Linked DNA regions of Caenorhabditis elegans. The protein of the gene in region 2 purifies or fractionates together with the protein of the main gene of each other region. This does not show direct contact. Each region holds a gene or a part of one and is shown on either strand. Other genes may lie near its edges. The genes, in order: rab-14, F26H9.5, spg-7 and let-363.

What was found.
Region 1: the proteins of F26H9.5 (region 2) and rab-14 fractionate together in Caenorhabditis elegans (co-fractionation; one large-scale study listed by BioGRID). This does not show direct contact.
Region 3: the proteins of F26H9.5 (region 2) and spg-7 fractionate together in Caenorhabditis elegans (co-fractionation; one large-scale study listed by BioGRID). This does not show direct contact.
Region 4: the proteins of F26H9.5 (region 2) and let-363 fractionate together in Caenorhabditis elegans (co-fractionation; one large-scale study listed by BioGRID). This does not show direct contact.

What each region holds. Positions count from the first base shown.
Region 1 is NC_003284.9:15,604,098-15,608,244, forward strand, and holds rab-14 (Ras-related protein Rab-14), read right to left. Parts: upstream 2,539-4,147; 5' UTR 2,520-2,538; coding exon 2,414-2,519; intron 2,268-2,413; coding exon 2,023-2,267; intron 1,531-2,022; coding exon 1,412-1,530; intron 1,349-1,411; coding exon 1,186-1,348; 3' UTR 538-1,185; downstream 1-537. Other genes in the region: Protein nipi-3, read left to right, coding at 3,875-4,147.
Region 2 is NC_003279.8:9,312,098-9,316,394, forward strand, and holds F26H9.5 (putative phosphoserine aminotransferase), read right to left. Parts: upstream 2,392-4,297; 5' UTR 2,356-2,391; coding exon 2,235-2,355; intron 2,185-2,234; coding exon 2,115-2,184; intron 1,937-2,114; coding exon 1,855-1,936; intron 1,664-1,854; coding exon 1,370-1,663; intron 1,218-1,369; coding exon 672-1,217; 3' UTR 538-671; downstream 1-537. Other genes in the region: uev-3 (Ubiquitin-conjugating enzyme E2 variant 3), read left to right, coding at 1-53, 107-203, 290-507. UniProt on the Caenorhabditis elegans protein: Catalyzes the reversible conversion of 3-phosphohydroxypyruvate to phosphoserine and of 3-hydroxy-2-oxo-4-phosphonooxybutanoate to phosphohydroxythreonine.
Region 3 is NC_003279.8:3,465,567-3,470,161, forward strand, and holds the start of spg-7 (AFG3-like protein spg-7), read left to right. Parts: upstream 1-1,565; 5' UTR 1,566-1,567; coding exon 1,568-1,687; intron 1,688-1,736; coding exon 1,737-1,899; intron 1,900-1,941; coding exon 1,942-2,014; intron 2,015-2,555; exon of another isoform or gene 2,556-2,621; intron 2,622-3,719; coding exon 3,720-3,918; intron 3,919-3,975; coding exon 3,976-4,100; intron 4,101-4,595. Other genes in the region: Y47G6A.14 (RING-type domain-containing protein), read right to left, coding at 1-85, 143-212, 258-354, 398-443, 492-619, 671-722.
Region 4 is NC_003279.8:5,243,821-5,248,776, reverse strand, and holds the start of let-363 (Target of rapamycin homolog), read right to left. Parts: upstream 3,035-4,956; 5' UTR 2,997-3,034; coding exon 2,874-2,996; intron 2,819-2,873; coding exon 2,718-2,818; intron 2,665-2,717; coding exon 2,370-2,664; intron 2,326-2,369; coding exon 1,996-2,325; intron 1,947-1,995; coding exon 1,735-1,946; intron 1,691-1,734; coding exon 1,630-1,690; intron 1,580-1,629; coding exon 1,407-1,579; intron 1,268-1,406; coding exon 1,154-1,267; intron 1,108-1,153; coding exon 810-1,107; intron 203-809; coding exon 89-202; intron 40-88; coding exon 1-39. Other genes in the region: mrpl-47 (Large ribosomal subunit protein uL29m), read right to left, coding at 3,485-3,701, 3,750-3,871, 3,915-4,020, 4,071-4,235, 4,290-4,384. UniProt on the Caenorhabditis elegans protein: Serine/threonine-protein kinase that regulates the mRNA translation machinery, probably by modulating the activity of translation factors such as eIF-4G and eIF-2. It may have some protein kinase activity instead of lipid kinase activity.

The DNA.
Region 1 (4,147 bases), on a different chromosome or scaffold from region 2:
GGTTGCCGATTTGCCTGAAATTTTCATTTTCGGCAAGTTGCCGATTTGCCGTTTGCCGAATATCAGATTTCCCGGAAATTTTTAGAGGGACTTTTTATAGAACGGAAACTCTTAAAACCGTTTTTTTTTGAATTTTTTCCGTTTTGTCTACATATTTTCATAGAATTTGCTTACTTTTCGAAATAGATGTAGGAATATTCATAGGATGCGTAAAATTTTGTCATTTGAAATTGGAATTCTAAAATTTCCAAAAAAATAAGTGCGAAACCACAATTTGCAGAAATTTTTTGGCAAGTTTCTTTTTTTCCAGCAAATTTGGCGAATCGGCAATTTGCCGATTAGCCGATTTGCCGGAAATCTGCAATTCCTGCAATCTGCCGATTTGCCGATTTGCCGGAAACAATCGTTTGCTGCCCACCCGTGACTAGAATCCCATTTCAGCCACGGATTACTCTGTCATTAGAAAAATTTACGCACACTTGAAAACACATTTGACTATTACTGGTGATGTTAACTTTGAAGATTGAGCACTTCATGCTTCAATGAATAGTTTTTTTAAATATTATATGTACAATTGAATTTTGCTGAAAAATGATTAAACAAAAAAAATAAATTTTGAAAAAGTTTTCTGAAATCATAGGTTCATAAAACTAACAACAGAGAACTATTTATAAGGAAAAGTGACAAAAATGACAAAAATCGTTAGTTTTTTTGATTTTCAAAGCACAATTATAGCACTTAATGGGGTGGGATCATATAGATGTTTCTTATCACACAAGGAATGGGGGAAAAATGTTCAAAACGGTTTTTGACAGAAAAAATCTACTAAATATGCAGTTGGTTGGGTGAGCGAAAGTGTTATATTATGAACGGTTCACAGTTCGATGATGATAGTGAGTAATGGGTGGGGGACTGAAAAAGACTGGGAATTGGTAAGTAAAAGTGACACAAAGTTCTGAATTTCAGAGTAGTTTTATAGTGATTACAAGTTTAGATTTTGACAGGCAACTAGAATTTGGAAACAAGAAACCATACCACCCAATGTTGATTCTTCTGGCATTTTAATGATAATGGGTGACAAGCTCTCACATACAGATAGACGGATTAGAAAGTAATAATTTAAAAAAATACATTAAAATCAATTGGGAATGATTTGAGGGGAAGAAGGGACTTTGCACACATCAACTAGCAGTTGCAGTCCTTCTTCCCATTATTTTCAGCTGCACGTGGCAAGTTCTGTTTTGGCTGGACGCCAGTGTCGGCGGCGTTCAAGTCCAAACTTCCGTCTTGGATATTCTGATAGATTTGCTTGGCCGTTTCGAGGAAAGCGTCTTCGACGTTACTGCCACTGAAAAAAAAGCCATTTGAAATTGATGAATTTGCAGTGGGGGGGTGGGGGGAAGAAACTTACGTCTTCGCACTGCACTCCAAGAAAGTGAGCCCGTTTTCTTCGGCGAAAGCTTTTGCTTCCTCGTATGGCACGTCACGTTGATCTTCGAGGTCGGCTTTGTTTCCGATAAGAAAGATGGCCTGAAAAAGGAACTTGTGAGAATTGGTGCTTGAATCTCATTTTTATTGTAAAATTAAATCAGTGCAAAGTGGACGAAATACTGTTTTCTTACTAATACAGGTAGATTTTTAACTCTCCAAATAAAACTAGATAACCCAATTTTAACTCGTTTTTTTTAGATATTAGTTTAACGATAAAACACACAATTTAGAGCACATACAGATTGAATGTTTTCCAGCTTAAATCTGATTCATGAGAATTTTGATTGAAATTCAGTTTATAGTCTACGATCTTTTGAGCTGCAAATAAATGTTATGCTTGCAAAAATTCATAAATTGCAATTTACTAAACATGGCGTACATCTATGTAGTTTTGAAATTTTGCTGAAAGTTCAAATTCGCTTTAATTTTGGAACTTGGGAATGCTTTTATAAAGTATAAATTCGAGTTTTTATATATTTTTCAACCCTACTTTTGAGTAAAAATTATAAACCAAGTATATATTTTACCTACCGTATTTGGATTGGTCAAGCTTTTTGCGTCGGCCAACCAGCTGCTCAAATGATTGTAGGTAGAACGGCGAGTGATGTCGTAGACCATCAAGGCTCCGGCTGCTCCACGATAATATGATCGCGTCACAGCGCGGAATCGCTCCTGGCCCGCCGTGTCCCAGATTTGAAGCTTGATCTTCTGTCCGCTGACCTCAATAATCCTGGTGCCGAATTCCACGCCGATTGTGTGCGGGCAGTCGGCCATGACTGAAAGTTAGTTATAGTTAGTTTTTGCGTTTGTTGCCCGCAGTGATTGTACGGTGGTTATTGACCGGAGGAACAGGTCTCTTGTTGATGACTAATGTTGACACAAACAACATGATATATCGATTTTCCAGGAATGCGGGACTTACACTTCTTTTCTGTGAACTGATGAAGAAGACACGATTTTCCGACACCCATATCACCAATAATAATATATTTGAAAATATACGAATAATTGTAAGGAGCAGCCGTCATTTTTATGTGTTTTTGTTACCTGAAAGTTGCGGATTATATTTTGGTTATTCGTTTCAGAAAAAAGGATACAAAAAAGTAGCAATGAGAATAGATAGACCACACAAAAGAAAGTGGCTATTAGAGACTGACTGCCAAGTTGTCATTAGTTGGAAGTAGGGGAAAACCGACGGGGAGAGAGAGACAAATGTGGAAGTAGTTGGGATAGAGAAAGATGAACGCCACGTCCAAAAGCAATAGAGAATCCATTGGCCTCCAGAAAGCTAAAAGAGGCAATGTCGGAGAGAGAGAGAGGAGCAGTTGTACGAGGAGTGCTACGCAATGGAATATCACGAGGAAAGAGACACTGGACAAAAACGGGGGCCCCTCCATTCCTCTATCTCTGTCTTCTCTGAGAAACGACGCGTCGCGTACTATCGACCGCGACGCTTGCAACGGAACTGGTCTCTACTGCGTGTCTCTAACGTCTCGCTCTCGGTGTGCGCTGTACTGTGCTGTCTGACTCTCGCCTTATGTGCCGCGTAGGAGACGGATTGGAGATGAAGAAAAAAACACGTAGAGAGACAAAAAGAGAGAAGAGTGAAATGACGAGTGAATGCGCACGTGTGTGTGGGCTCTAGCTTTTCTCCTTATTCATCTGTCATTGGTGTTGAGCCAGCTATCTTTTTCCTTGTTCCAAAGAGATCATGCTTTTTCTTTTTCATATACGTAGATGCCTAAGACATGGAAAAAACAATTATTTCCTCCTGCTTCTTGTTTTGCTCTTCAAATTCATCTTCAGAACAGAGTAAAATACTATAATATTAAATATGCTTAATAGCCTAATCAAATTGCAAATTATGACTTCAATTTCCAACCATGGCTCCCCTAATCGGTTACAACTCGTTTGTGAACAGTCTTACAGTTCTCGAGACATTTGATTTTATCACTATTCGACCATCTACCCACTCATTCTCTATCTCTCGTTTCGGTCCCCGTAGTTTCCTTCTCTGACACTTGTGTTGATCGTAGTGCCGCGATGATATTTCGCAATACCTGCTGATGCACGAGCTTCTCTCATCGCCACGCGCTCTCTTCCGATTCCTCTCGTCGTTTCTGTGATATGTGAAGAAGGGCGGTCCTCCCTCTAGTCATCTACAATGTAGTATTGCGAAATATTAAAAAAAAAAAAAACGGAAAATTCATTGTGAAACCCTCGCAGCCAGTAATGTTTCGCAATAACACCCCTTCATTCTTACCAATTCTAGGGTTATCATTCTTTGCATTTTCTTGTCTGTAGTCTACCAACTTTATCTCATTTGCTTCTTCTCCTTTTGTAACAATGTTCCCTAAACATTATTTTTTTTGTTTTTCAGGGTATGGCTCGTACAAAATGCAAAACCAAAACCGTAGCCAATCCTAGAACTGGAGTCAGAAAAACCGCAAAAGATCTTTCTGAACCAGTTCGTCAGGATGCCGTTTCAAGAAGGAGGCCCACAACTCTTCCTTTTGTTGGAAATACCTCAAGTCGTCCAAGGGTGTTTTACGATGTTCTAGCCAAGAAGAATGTCGTCTTCCCAAATGTCAAAGCAGAGTACCACTATAGAGTTCGCAATGCTCCGAAGATTGATCCAAAGAATTTTGGCACGACG
Region 2 (4,297 bases):
GAGTTTGTTTTCACACATTTATATTTCATCCGAATCTTGGGAAATATGGAAACGTAAGTTTAAAAACCTAATTTTGAAAACATTTAAATTTTTTGCAATTATTCAGTGGGACATGCGTGGAATTCAATGGGAACGACGATCCAATTTGGAAGTTTTATATAATTTTATTGTGGAAGGAATGCGAAATGTGAAATATGATATTGGTAAATTCTTTCTACATTTATAAGACATTTTAAACTACTTGGCTATCTAAATATCAACTAAAAAATTAAATTATGAACTCTTCCAGAACGTAGAAATCTTGCTCAATTGGAAGATATGTCACAACCGAATATCTCGCGGCTTGCTAAAGAGGATTGGCCGAAATTCGAGCGTACAGCCCGGGAATTTGTAATGAAAATGGCCGGAGGAACTATAAACGGACGCAAGACAATTTTTGCTGAAACAAAAAAAAGGAGAAGACAAGATTTTCTTGATGAAGACATTGATGTCATTGGAATTTCATAGTTTTCTGTTTTTTTTAAATAAACAAAAAATGTTAACCATTATTTATTGGTTCTTAAAATCACTTTAAAAATTCAAATACAAACAATCAAAAAGGCACATGAAGGTTTTTAAAAATCACAGACAAATTCAGAATAAGAATACAAGAAAAATATAGTGTCTCCCGACTAGTTAGTATTATGGAGTTTCTGGAACTCATTCATCCACGTGGCAAGTACTTGTGTCTCCTCGACTGAGATGGCATTATAGAGCGATGCACGGATTCCACCAACTGATCTATGTCCCTTTAAACTAATCATATTTCGTTCAATAGATCCTTTCAAGAACTTCTCCTCAAGTTCATCGTTTCCAGATGGACCGCCAATTCGGAAGCAAACATTCATAATACTACGGTAGCGTTTGTCAACGGCGCAGTGATAAAAACCATTTGAATTATCAATTATATCATAAATCATTCCAGATTTTTGAAGGTTTAGCTCATAGATTGCTTGAAGTCCACCTTTTGATTTTATCCATTTGAGAACGAGATTTGTTGTGTAGATACCTCCAGTTGGTGGTGTATTATACAAACTATTATTTGCAATCATTTCTTTATAACTGAAGACAGATGGAGTGATTGCTTGTTGCTTTCCGATAAGATCTTTCCGAACAATAACGATTGTAAGACCAGCGGCGCCAAGGTTTTTCTGAGCTCCACCGAAAACCACTCCGTGCTGAAATGAAACTTTTAAAAAAAGGTTAATGATTTTTTCATAAAACTTATTTGGTAATTTCACAAGATTTTCTCTTGCCAAAATCTTGTAAAATTAGGATAAAACATCTGGCTAATTTTCTAAAAGATTTTTATATACATAGTTGTGCTTACATCTTTAAAATCAAATGGTCTAGCCATGAAATTCGAAGAAACATCAGCCACCAATGGAACATTATGTGATTCTGGAGCAGTTGGAGTAAATTCAATTCCATGTACAGTCTCATTGGCACAATAATACAGATATGCGGCTTTTTCATCGTGAACCCAATTCTCTTGATCTGGTACAGTGACATACGGTTTTGATGGTTGAAAAACCTTCTTCACATTGATATATTTTCCAGCCTCATCTGCTGCTTTTGAAGACCACGCGCCTGTCACAATGTAGTCCGCGTGTTCATGATCACCCTATAAAGGAAACTTTATTTTTATATTTTATTTTTTATTGTGGGTATATTGAGATTTGCCTAACTTTTCAAGTCATAAGATTTTTTTTTCATTTTCTAGGAATGATAAATTGTTTTAAACAACATTTTTTTCTAGTTAGGGAAGTCTCAAAAGCCATCAGAGACGTGTTTCACTCTTATCATAAATTATACCTTAAGATTGAGAGGAATAGCGGCGAATTGACCGGTTCCGCCGCCTTGCATGAAAAGAATTTCAAAGTTGTCTGGTACGTTCCTGCAAATAGATTTTTATTAAGATTAAATGCCACTTCCGGGTTTTCTTTTTCTTTTTTTGAAGGAATGGAAGCATTTTGCACTTTAATTTTAAAAAGGCTTGGTGCACAATGTTTCAAGTTTCATCACTCTAGCTAGTTGAACTAATTACAGAATAATTTCAGAAACATCGAACTTACATAAGTTCCCGAATAAGACTGATAGTTTCATTGAGAAGAGCTCCGAATTCCTTCGATCTATGCGACATTTCTGAAAATTTGTCTTGAATTCTCACAATATCCGCATATTTCTTAATTTACCAATGACACTGACTCCTAGATTATTGAAATTGAGTTGTTCTTCTTGCATTTTAAGTAAAACTTCTTCAGGAAGCTTTGCTGGACCAGCAGCAAAGTTAATTTTTCGTCCGGGAGCTGCCATTTTATGGAGAAGAGGGTTAGTGTGTTTTATTGATTTCTGCAAAAATAGAGTAGCGGTTTCGCAAAAAACAAACGTTTCGAACAATGAGCAGGAATTCCTGCAGGAAAAGAAGAAAAAAAGAAGAAGAGTAATAGTATATTTATGATGCTGAGAGATTGAAGTTTAAAAACAATTCAGCGATTCAATTTACTTAAATTTAAATTTTTAAAAATGAATTAAAGTTATAATTTTGAATATTTTAAACTCAAAAGCAATTTATTGGAATTTCTTGTGTAAAAAATTGCAAAAGAATCCGTTGGATGGGTCAAGATTTAAGTATTAAGAGACCATGAGATCATGAGAATGCCTACCGTTTTGGCGCGGGAATATCTCGTAGCGAAGGCACCTAAATCTCTCGTCACCGCACGTTCTCTCTGCTGCCGCTACTTTCGCGCCACAAAGTAGGCATTCTCATGAACTCATGGTTTCGTAATATCGTAATTTTGAAAAGGCGCACAGATTAATTTGAACAGGTCTCGCCACTCGAAAAAGTTTATGGTAGCACTTTTTTCGGCGGTTGTTGTAAACGCGCTTTCCGTTTTTTTCAAACGAAAATTCTTTTAAAATCAATGTTTTTCTTGATAAAAAAGATTTAAGGAAATTTAATTTTCGAAAAGAACAGTTAGGAAAATAGGAAAGCGACCGCCGCAATGATAAAAAGTACTACCATAAACTTGTTTCGTGGCGAGACCCACCTCACTAAAACTGTGTACCTTTCATTTCGTATTTCAGAAAAATTCAGAATAACCATAACTTTTAGTAAATACGAGTAAACTTGAAACTTTATGTTTGTTTTTATATTTGGTTTGCTTTCAAATATTTGGAAGATTAAAAAATCCAACAAAATTTTTGAAAAGTGAACAATTTCGGGTTGAGAAATCAACGCTATCAAATAATTATCAAACAAATAATACTGATGTTTTTTTTTCAAAAAAAAGCTATCCAAAAATATAACAAATACCAAACATCTTCTAATTCAGATGACAATAGTCAGAGGACATAAATCGCTAAGCTAGCAAGCTGATCATTATGATAAGAAAAGGGGTACACGTGTACCAACAACCGCCATGCAACAAAATGAATGCATAAATGACGGAGAACAGGGAAAAGAAGAGGAGGGGAGGGGTATGATGTTATCATGAGACGACTCTTTTATGGAACAAAAAGAAAGTTATGAAAGTCACGTACACAGATGGTTTATTTAGATAAACTCATGTTTTTTGGCTATAATGGGGTTATTCAAGTAATGTAGCAAAATGTACTTAAATACATTTGTGACGTCACAAATGTATTTAAATACATGTTTTTATCTACTTGAATAAGGTTGTGACGTAATTTTTCTACACTTTTTAATTTTCCGACACTACTTGAATAACCCCATAAATGTCATCATAATGATGTAAGATTCGTGAGAACAATGGGTGTGTCTTTGAGTGGGATAAATTGGAAATTAAATAGGTCAACTGTTTATATGTTTGTACTAAAAACCGAATCGCTACAGGAAATGTTGCATAATGTAGTTGTAAATGTACAACTGACTGGCCCAAACATTAAACTCTTGGGAATATATTTCTGCCTTGTTGACATTGGAATCAGGCGGCAATCGAAAATTTTCGAGAATTCTGCAATTCGGCAATTATCGAGTTTAATAAACTTTTATTGTAGTGAGTCTTTTTTTTGGTAATACAATTTAACTTTTTTCCTTCCCAACACATAAAAAACTGGAGATTTTAATATTTCATTCTGAGAATTTTCTCGATAATTCGATAATTGCCGTTTTTCAAAATTTTCGGATAAAATTTTTTAACAAATTTCAACTTATAGCTCACTTTTTCAAAATTCTTATTGAACGAAACCAGGGATGTTTGCCAAAATATGTTCAGTATTAGTCAAAAATACTGAA
Region 3 (4,595 bases), 5.8 Mb from region 2:
AAGCCACAGTCTCGTGGCCCTGTGTGACATGAGATCGCAGTGCACAACTTCCACAAAGCGCCAACGATTTGATATCCAAATCCACCTTAAAAAATCATTTTTCAATTTTTTTTTTTTTTTTGAAATTGGATATTTTCCGGACCTCGGCACCCAAATTCTCCACGACGTCGTATTTGAAGGCATCAGTGACGCAATTGCGGCAGACGAACATGCTGGAAATTGAATTTTTTTGTTATTTCTAATTAAAAGAGGCCTACTCCGATTCGTTGTCGTATTTGGTGCATTGAGTGCAGTCCACTGCATTTGCAGGCTTCTTTGGCTTCTCACGAAGCTTTTGGATCATGGTCACAGCATCTGAAAAATAGTTTTTTTCGGGAAATATGAATATTTTTAAAACTTGTCAATGCAAAGTTTTTTGTTCGCTTCTCCTTGCTAACCACGGCCTGAAATTATTTTATTTTTAAACAGATATCAATATATTTAAGCCATACGCGGCATGTCGGGCATTGTGTCTGGCCACCAGATCCATATGCGTCAGAATAATCGCTTTTCAAGTGCACAATGCAAGTTTCGCATAGAGAATGGCCACAAGATATGATGAATGGAGCCTTTTGATCATCTGAAAATAAAAATGTGCTTGTTTTACAATAAAAATTGGGATATTTTTCACCAAATTCTTCCTGGCACACAGGGCAAGTCGGGAGTTCTTCATTAACATCCATTTTTCTCGAAAATTCTGAAAAATAAAGTTTTTTAAATTAGAAAAATCAATATTTTTAAATTTTCGTTATTTTTAATCGTCGAATAATTGAAATTTTCGTTTAAAATTAAGGAAAAACAATTTATACAATTTATATCCGGAAAAATTAATGTTTTTGCAAATATTTGAGTTTCAAGCGTTTTCGCTTCAAGTCTCAAGGAGGATAATGTGCTTGCGCCTTTAAAAACTACAGTAAGACCTTTGTTTATTTCGTCATCGAATTTCAATGTTTTGAATCAAATTTCCCGTGATTCCGGTTTGATTTTCACAATTTTATTATGTTTTTACACTATTTAATGAATTTTAATTCAGTATATAATAAAATCCATAGATTATCCACACTGAAAATCTACCAATACCGTCAGTTTCTCAAAAAAAAAACATTTGCCCAAAAAATGCCTGTTTTCCATGGAAATTCACATTGATTTTTAATTTCACAACGTTTTTTTTGCCAATTTCTTTCCAAAATTTCTCAAAGTACTTTCGCAAACTAATCGTTCACTTTTGCGTCATGGCTCTGTGCACTGGAAACTAATTTCAAACGACGCGCGCATTGTCTTGTGCGATGGAGCGCGCTTGCTATTTTCTAAAAAGTGCTCAGTATTTTTGAAGCTTTATGGTTTTTCCTTGTATTTTGCATAATTTTAAACATTTTTCTCGAGAAAAAATATTCGAAAAAGTAGAAAACGGCTGAAATTTGGTTGTTTTTAATTTTTTCCCTCGTTCCTCAATCTTAAAATCGAAGATTTCGTCATCTCTCACTGTTTGCGCAGTGCATGATTATGATAATTAAATTCTATTGCAGAAATGTGGCGATTATACCGAAAAACGCCGAAGCAGCTGAGAAATTCGGTCGAATCATGCTTCAAATCTGTCAATTCCCGCCAATTTTCAGTCAGCTCATTTTCAGCAGTAGCCAAAGATGATGTAATATTACCGCCTGCCAGTATACTGAAAATTCTGAATTTTTTTGCAGAAATCCGTGCTAAAACAACAAGAAGTTCTGCATCTTCTCGCAAAAGATCAGCGATTTGAAGAGCGATTCTTCAATCAAGTACAGCAGACAATTCGATATTTCGCCTCGAAACCAAATGATTTGAAAAAGTTCTTCAGGAAGGAAGCATCGACGGATAATAAAGGTTTTCAGAGGGAAATTATCATTAATTCGAAGTTTTTTCCAGAATCTTCATCATCTTCTGACAAAAAGGACAGCAAAGGAAATAAGGGAGAGGATAATAATCCGTTTAATCAATTGTGAGGAGGAATAGACACAAAAATCGGCTAATTTTGGCTAAAATCTGAAATTTCGCCCAAATTATCATCATTTAGATGCTTTTCACCACGTTATTTTGTTTATTGAAGTCTCGGAGAAGCCCCGGAAATCATTTCTAGTCGAATTTCTTTGGAGTATTTCAAAAAATTGACTTTTACAGGTTTCCCGGGCCGTATTTTGAACTTTTTGGCAAAAATTGTCCCAAAGATCCGGAAAAAACTTGTAAAATCCAATATTTTTAAAATAAATTGGTGATTTTAGCTAAAATTAGCAGTTTTTTTAAAAAGTTTTATTGGCAGAGCAAAAACCGTGCCAGAGTTGCAAAAATTGGCGTTTTTAGCATTTTCTCCATTTTTCCAGATTTTCAAAAATCGAAAATTCGGGATTTCGGAATCATTTCAATAAAATTCAAAATTTAATGAAATCACGAATTTTCCAAATCGTTGAAAAAAAATTCCGAGAAAAAAAAAACAAAAAAACGCCCATTTTTGCAATTCTGGCACGGTTTTTTGCTCCGCCCACGATGTTTTTGAGCGGGGCACCACGTTTTCAAGATCTACGAGAAGAAGATCTACGTTTTCAGGATCTGGCACCGTGCCAAGTGCAGTTTTCGCAGTTTTCTCGAAGAAAATCGAAATAACGATGCTCCGATATTACGCATCGCGAGTTGTTTAGCGTTTTTCAGAAGTTTTTATTCAAAAAAGGTTTTTCTGACTAAACAACGTGCGATGCGTAATATCGGAGCATCGTTGCTTTTTCTTCGAGTAGACTGCGAAAACCGCAGTTGGCATGGTGCCAGATCCTGAAAATGTAGACCTCCTTTTCGTAGATCTCGTTTCCGGCTAGATCTTGAAAACGTGGTGCCTCTTTTGAGCACATTTACCTTTTCTAAGATTTAAAAGTGGGGTACCGAAATCTGGAAAATATTTTCAAATGTCTCCAAATTTTCTTCTCATTCCAAATATCGATGTGAAAAAAATCAAAACAATTTTCTAGATTTTATATGATTTTTTGAAAATAGGAAAAATCACAGTTTTCACCTAATTATTTTTGAATTTCCGCCAATTGGATTTGTTCGGTGGAGCGTGCTTGCAGTATTTTTATCAATTAATTTTTTTAAATTCTTGTTCTTTGACTGATTTTCTTCATTTTCTATGTTTTCTCCTCGGAAAATGGAAGAAATAAACAAGACAAATGCAAAATTCTTGTTAAAAAGTAATTGAAAATGAGTAAAACTGTGAAATATACTAATTTCAGGCTTGTTGCCGTCGGAACTCAGAATATCACAGTTTTACTCATTTTCAATTACTTTTTAACAAAAATGTTGCATTTGTCTTTTTTATTTCTTCCATTTTCCGAGGAAAAAACATAGAAAATGAAGAAAATCAGTCAAATAACGAGAATAAATAAAATTAATAAATAAAAATAATGCAAGTGCGCTCCACCGAACAAATTCAATTGGCGGAAATTCAAAAATAATTAGGTGAAAACTGTGATTTTTCCAATTTTCAAAAAATCATATAAAATCTGGAAAATTTTTTTGAATTTTAATATCATGATATTCGGTCAATGTGACCCCATAGGCGCGTTTTAAAGCAATTTACCCACTGAGCGTAGTCCACCTTTAAAAAAACGGAGAAAACCTCTAAAACCCCTTAAAATCAATCTAATTCCTCCAATTTTCAGCCCAGGAGGATGGCAACAAATTGCCGTTTCAGTTGGAATTCTGCTCGCTCTCTACGCCTTTATGGATTATCAGTCGTATCGTGAAATTTCCTGGAAGGAGTTTTACAGTGATTTCCTGGAAGCTGGACTTGTCGAGAGACTTGAAGTAGTTGATAAGCGATGGGTTCGAATTGTTAGCTCGTCTGGAAAGTATGCAGGAGTTAGTTTTTTAGTTTTTGCACTGAAATTCGTGAAAAAATGAATTTTTTTCTTTCAGCAAACGTGCTATTTCAACATCGGAAGTGTGGATAGCTTCGAACGGAGCCTCGGAGCTGCTCAGCATCATCTCCAGTATGATGCTGATCGACAAATTCCGGTTTTATATAAATCTGAATTCAATTTGTAAGGATTTCTGCAAAAATCACTCCATTTCAAGAAAAATTAGAGAAAAAAAGAAAAAACCCCCGATTTTCTTAAAGAAAAAGCTCTGGGAAATGGGAAAAGTTATAATTTTTGCATGAAAATTCAGAAAAACTTTTAATTTTTCACATTTTTTGTAGTTAAAATTTTGTTTTTAAAGTGAAAACCTTCAGAAAGTCACTGAAAATGAAAATTTTGCACAAAAATTATGGAAAAAGTTGCTTTTTGCTCGTTTTTTGCACTAAAATTTCAAAAAAAAAATCCGATTTTTCTGATTTTTTGCCTGAAAATTTCAAAAACAAAAATTAATTTTGCTGGTTTTTTGCAGAAAAATTTTTAAAAAAACGCAGTTAGGCTGTTTTTTGCCTAAAAATTCGAGAAAATCTCAATTTTGCTGAATTTTTGCACTAAAAGTCTTTTAAAAAATCCGATGTTTCTGATTTTTTGCCAAAAAATTCAAAAAAAAAAATTTTGCTG
Region 4 (4,956 bases), 4.1 Mb from region 2:
AGCCAAACGGATTTCCACATTGTCCGCTGTCAAGTAGTACTGAAAAACCACAAAATTACAGAAAAATCGAGAAAACTTTCGAACGTACATCTGCAACGTATTGCATGATTCTCTGCAAGGCACCTCTTGAGAAATAGAATTCACCGAGCACATCGACAGCCAGCACGATTCGTTGAAGCTCTTTTGGATCGGTTTCTGCTTTCTGAAATATAAATCTTTTGCATAAATACAACCCCAAAACTCTCATTTGAGATTTTTTGAATTTACTTCTTTGCACAACAGAAATATCGCCAATGAGAAATATATTTAAAACCATTGTTAATGCTAACATGATAAAATATCATAGGAAATCTGTTCGAAAAATTTAAATTTTAAAAAGTCGCCATTTCTATTTTCTTATTTTGCTGATTATGAAAATATTTGAAAACCCCGCAAAGTTTAGGTTTTTTTTTCGATTTTTCGGCTTTTAAATTTACGATTTCTGGAAACAAAAATCAAAAATTTCGAAAAATTTCTGGTCATTTCTCTATTTTTCAAAAGATAATTTCGATAAATTTATAGCTTCTCTGTCTTTTGTTTTTCGAACATATCTGAAAAAAGCGAAAAATCATACAAATTTTTAACGACGCCCTTGGTTCGAATATAGAAAAATGTCGAAACTTTGACGGAAAATTATTTCAAAAAAGATAAAATTGTAAGCGTTTTTAAATCTGATGGGATTCTGATCTTTATTTAAAAAATGTTATGTGCTTTTCAGATTCAAAAAAATTACTTCGAGCAAAATTATAAAATTTCTCTACGAAACAAACCTGCAAAATAGCTTTAGGACTCGCAGGCCTTCCAATCGGTTCGGATTTTGGTGGAATTAGAGATCCAGTGAGTGTTTGATAGACAGAAGCCATAACACCATCTTGAACATTCAGCCGCAGTTTCGGAATTCTCATCATAATCATTTTTAGCACGTTTGCCAGCGATCGAGACAGGGTAATATCCATTAATTGTGGAATTATTGCCTTGATTTGTGTCGTCACTTGTTCGTGATAAGCATCCACAAATAGGAACAGGAATGTGAAATAATTATCGAGAACATCAGAATTCGTCGTTTTTCTACAAAATTTAACTATTAAAAAAAGTGTACTAATTTCAAATTTACTTGATAGCAGCAGAGATAAAACTGATTGTTTTCTCGATATGTGTGGCATGTACATCTGGATTCGAGAGCATCATCATTCCGATTGCTGGAGCAGCGACCGCATTTCTTTGAAGACTGAAAAAATTGAACATTATTGGAAATTTTGAATCACCATAATTTTTTTTGAGTCTCGTTACAAAATTCGTTTTTAGCGCATTTCGAGTCTATAAAAGCTAAAAGCCCATAAACATCAGTCCTCTTCCATTCTACGTACATAGTAAATGAAGTGTCGAATGAGATTGTTTGAAAAGTTCGATCACATTGTGGAAATGCACAAATTCTTGGTAGAAGCTGCATGAGAACTGTATTCAGGTAAATCGAGCTTTGCTGTTTCGTGGATGAAGTTTTGTTTGCGAGAGGTATTATCTGACGAACACAATCGAGTATCTGGAAAAAAACATAACAAATTTCGGGAAATGAAGAATTTCAGCTTTTACCTTCGGAAATCGTTCCAAAACCAGCTTTCGAGCAGTCACACTTTCCACAATAGTTTGTTGCCTTAAAAATACAAGTTTTTAAATAGATGAAAAAGAATCGATTACTTAGTTAGGACAAGCCATTCAACACCTTCTTCTTCGTCTTCTTTCAAAAACTTTTGTTTAATAAACTGTGAGGATTCACATCTGATGAGTTCGAATCGTTGATCAGAAATTCGAAGAAGTTCATTGAGAATCAGGGCGACGGCATGCCATCTATCCAAATCGTCCTTTTGCGATGGGTTTGGTTGACCTTCCAGTGCTTCATCGAAACATTTCTGGAATATAAAATCATTCTAACGAAAGATCAAAATTTTAATTGATCACCTTAAACCACTCAGTTTTATTCTTTGCTTCACGCTGTGAAACAATTGTCAAAACCACGTGTAATGCATCAATTCCGGCGATTCTTACAGCTGGATTCTTGTCTCTGACAGCGTTGAAGATATACTTGAAAAATAAGTTTACACGAAGAAAGAATGCTGTCGGTGTGGCCAGTGCGAGCTCACGAGAGAGGTGTGAAGCGGCGAGTCGACGAATTTGATCAATTTCCTGTTGATTTTTGGGTTGCTGACTATGTGGAACATTTTGACCAAGCCATTCGTGGCAATGATCAAGACAACGATCAACCAGCTCGGCCGCGTATGATTTACAAGTCTGCAAATGTTTAAAATTGGTTTAAAAAAAATTAAATTACTTACCGCAATCAGAAAAGCGAGAGCTTTTGAAGCCATCTTGACTGTATCTTCATCTAATCCATTTCCATTATTTAACATTTTCAGAAGATAATTCGCATATCGAATAACATTTCCAGAATGAGTTTCAGCTAAGCACACGATGAGATAGATACCGGCTCGTTTCTGATCGATATTTGAATTCGACTTCATACAATTATAAATTGCACTCTGAGAGGCTATATCTGTTCGTCCATCGATTGCATTCAGGAAAGCATCACTAAAAGTATTTGGCTCGTCTTTCAGCTCACTTCGAACATATCTGAGGAAAATAATATATTTAATTTATTGACTTTTATTTAAAAAAAAAACTACCTGCTGAGTTCTCGAGCAGCCTGTCGTTGATTTGCATCTCTATTTTCCGTAATTCGGCTCCGATATTGTGAAGCAAGAGCTCTTGCAGCATCAATCCCTTGCTGAAATATGATTTTTTTTTCCTTAAAAATTGTTTAAAGGAGAAGAAATACTAACTTTACGATGCCGCTCGTCAAATTCATTTGTAGCTGGAGCGGAGACTATTCGATTGGAAGTTGTGGCTGCTTTGTTCTGTCTATCGGCATTCATTTGAAAACTAATTCCGTGTTGTTGGAGCATTTTTCAAAGATGTTTCTGCCGATTTAGTGCATTGTGGGCTTAAAATTACGTTAAGAATAAAAAGTTATGAGAATGATCAGAAGCATAGAAAATCACTGGTTTTTTTCCGAAAATAAAATTATTTCCAGCTGAAATAATCAAGAAAGTGCTCAAAACTGGCCGTTTTCAGAAAAATATAGCTTGATAGTTCGATAATAGACAACTTTCAGGTAATTTTTTACCACTTTTTAAATTTTTTTCAGCTAAAAATTAGGTTTTTTTTCCTATGTAAATCAAGGGATTTTCAATGAAAAATATGAGAACAACACGGAGCCTTTTGTAATATCAGATAACTATGGGCTGACAAAACCCGTTGCATATTTCAAAATATCAAGAAAAAAGAACAATGGATATTCTTTGAAAAACTAAATAAACTGAGGAAGGAAGCAAAGCAAACAACATTTTTAAAAGCCTACTCGAAAACAAAAAAAATATCTAGAAACAACTTTTTATCGATTGAAAACTCGTGGAGCTCCTCTCTTGAATCTGTCCATGTCTTCTGTTCGTGCCGCTCGTCTCTTCTCATCATCCAATCTATCTCGATTTTTCATGAATTCTTTTTCCTGCCAAAGCTTCTGCATCACGTAGGCATCGTCGTCGAGATATGGAGTTTCGTATTCTTTCTGGCCGAGTTGAGGTGGTGCAAAGTGTTCTGTGGCTTGTTTTCTGGAACATATTTTTATTTTAAAAAAATTAATTTTATCAGGAACTCACTGATATGTAAATCCAGCGAATGAAGTGATTGTTCTCTTGCGTGGAGCCGCGGATTCTCCAGTTTCCAAACGGAAGACCGCATCATTTCGCTCGTGAACTACTGATTCTATACGATCCATTGTCTGAAATATATCATTTTGCATTTATTAAATTTTTAAAATATACCTCATGAACACGATCAAGTCTCTCTGGGTTTGGCATGTTCCGGGCACGTGAAGTGTGCGCTTTTTTCATCGTTATCAGCATATTTCGCTCCTTCAAGCACACATACCTTAAATTTAAATTTTTAATAAATTTAAAACCGAATTGCCATTAAATTACCAAAGCTTATGCAAATCTGAATTGCTTTTTAATCTCAGTTCTTCTGCTGTCCACGATCTGCCCGGCCGATGTTTCGGGCGGAGCTCTGCTTTTCCAAAATTCGCTTCATCATCGAAAAATTGTTTCATTGTACTGGAAAATCGTGTGTTGACGGCATTTTGTGATCTAAAAGAAGCAAAAATTAACTGGAATTCAACAAACTTCGATTTATCAACTAACCGAACAGCCGAAGACACCAAACTCGGTAAACTACGCCACATTGTAGATTTGAAGAACCTCAAAGAATGAAAATTGGTAAAATCAAAATTTTGCATATATAAAGAGCAAAATATTCAATAAAAACAAAAGAAAACATTAAAAAATAGAATATTTTGGAGAAAACCTTGCTGCCAAAAAATAATAAATGGGCGGCAAGTGCGCTCCACCGCACAATTGCCTCCCCCATAGCAGAGGTAATTCAAAAAATAGTTTTTTCTAGATAAAATTTCAATAGCAAGTTTTAATACTTTTAACATGGGTTTTCAGTAAAACATTGAATTAACTTCAAGTAATTATTTCTTGAAAAAATTCTTCGACAAAAAAGTTCATTTTAAGTCAGATATTAATTTTTGAAATTATGAAAACTTAGTTAATCTCCCAATAAATAAATGCGGTCATTTATATGCCTGGAGGTCAGTTTTTTTGATTAAACTGGAAGCTTCTGGCACCTAGAAAAATTTTGTTATTAAATTTTGAAAGCGCTTAAAATTTGAAACAAGTCCCCGAAGAAACATTTTCAAAAAAGTTCAATTTAAGTCAGATATTAATTTTTGAAATTACGAAAACTAAATAAATCTCCCAATAAAAAATGCGGTCATTTATATGCCTGGAGGTCAGTTTTTTTGAT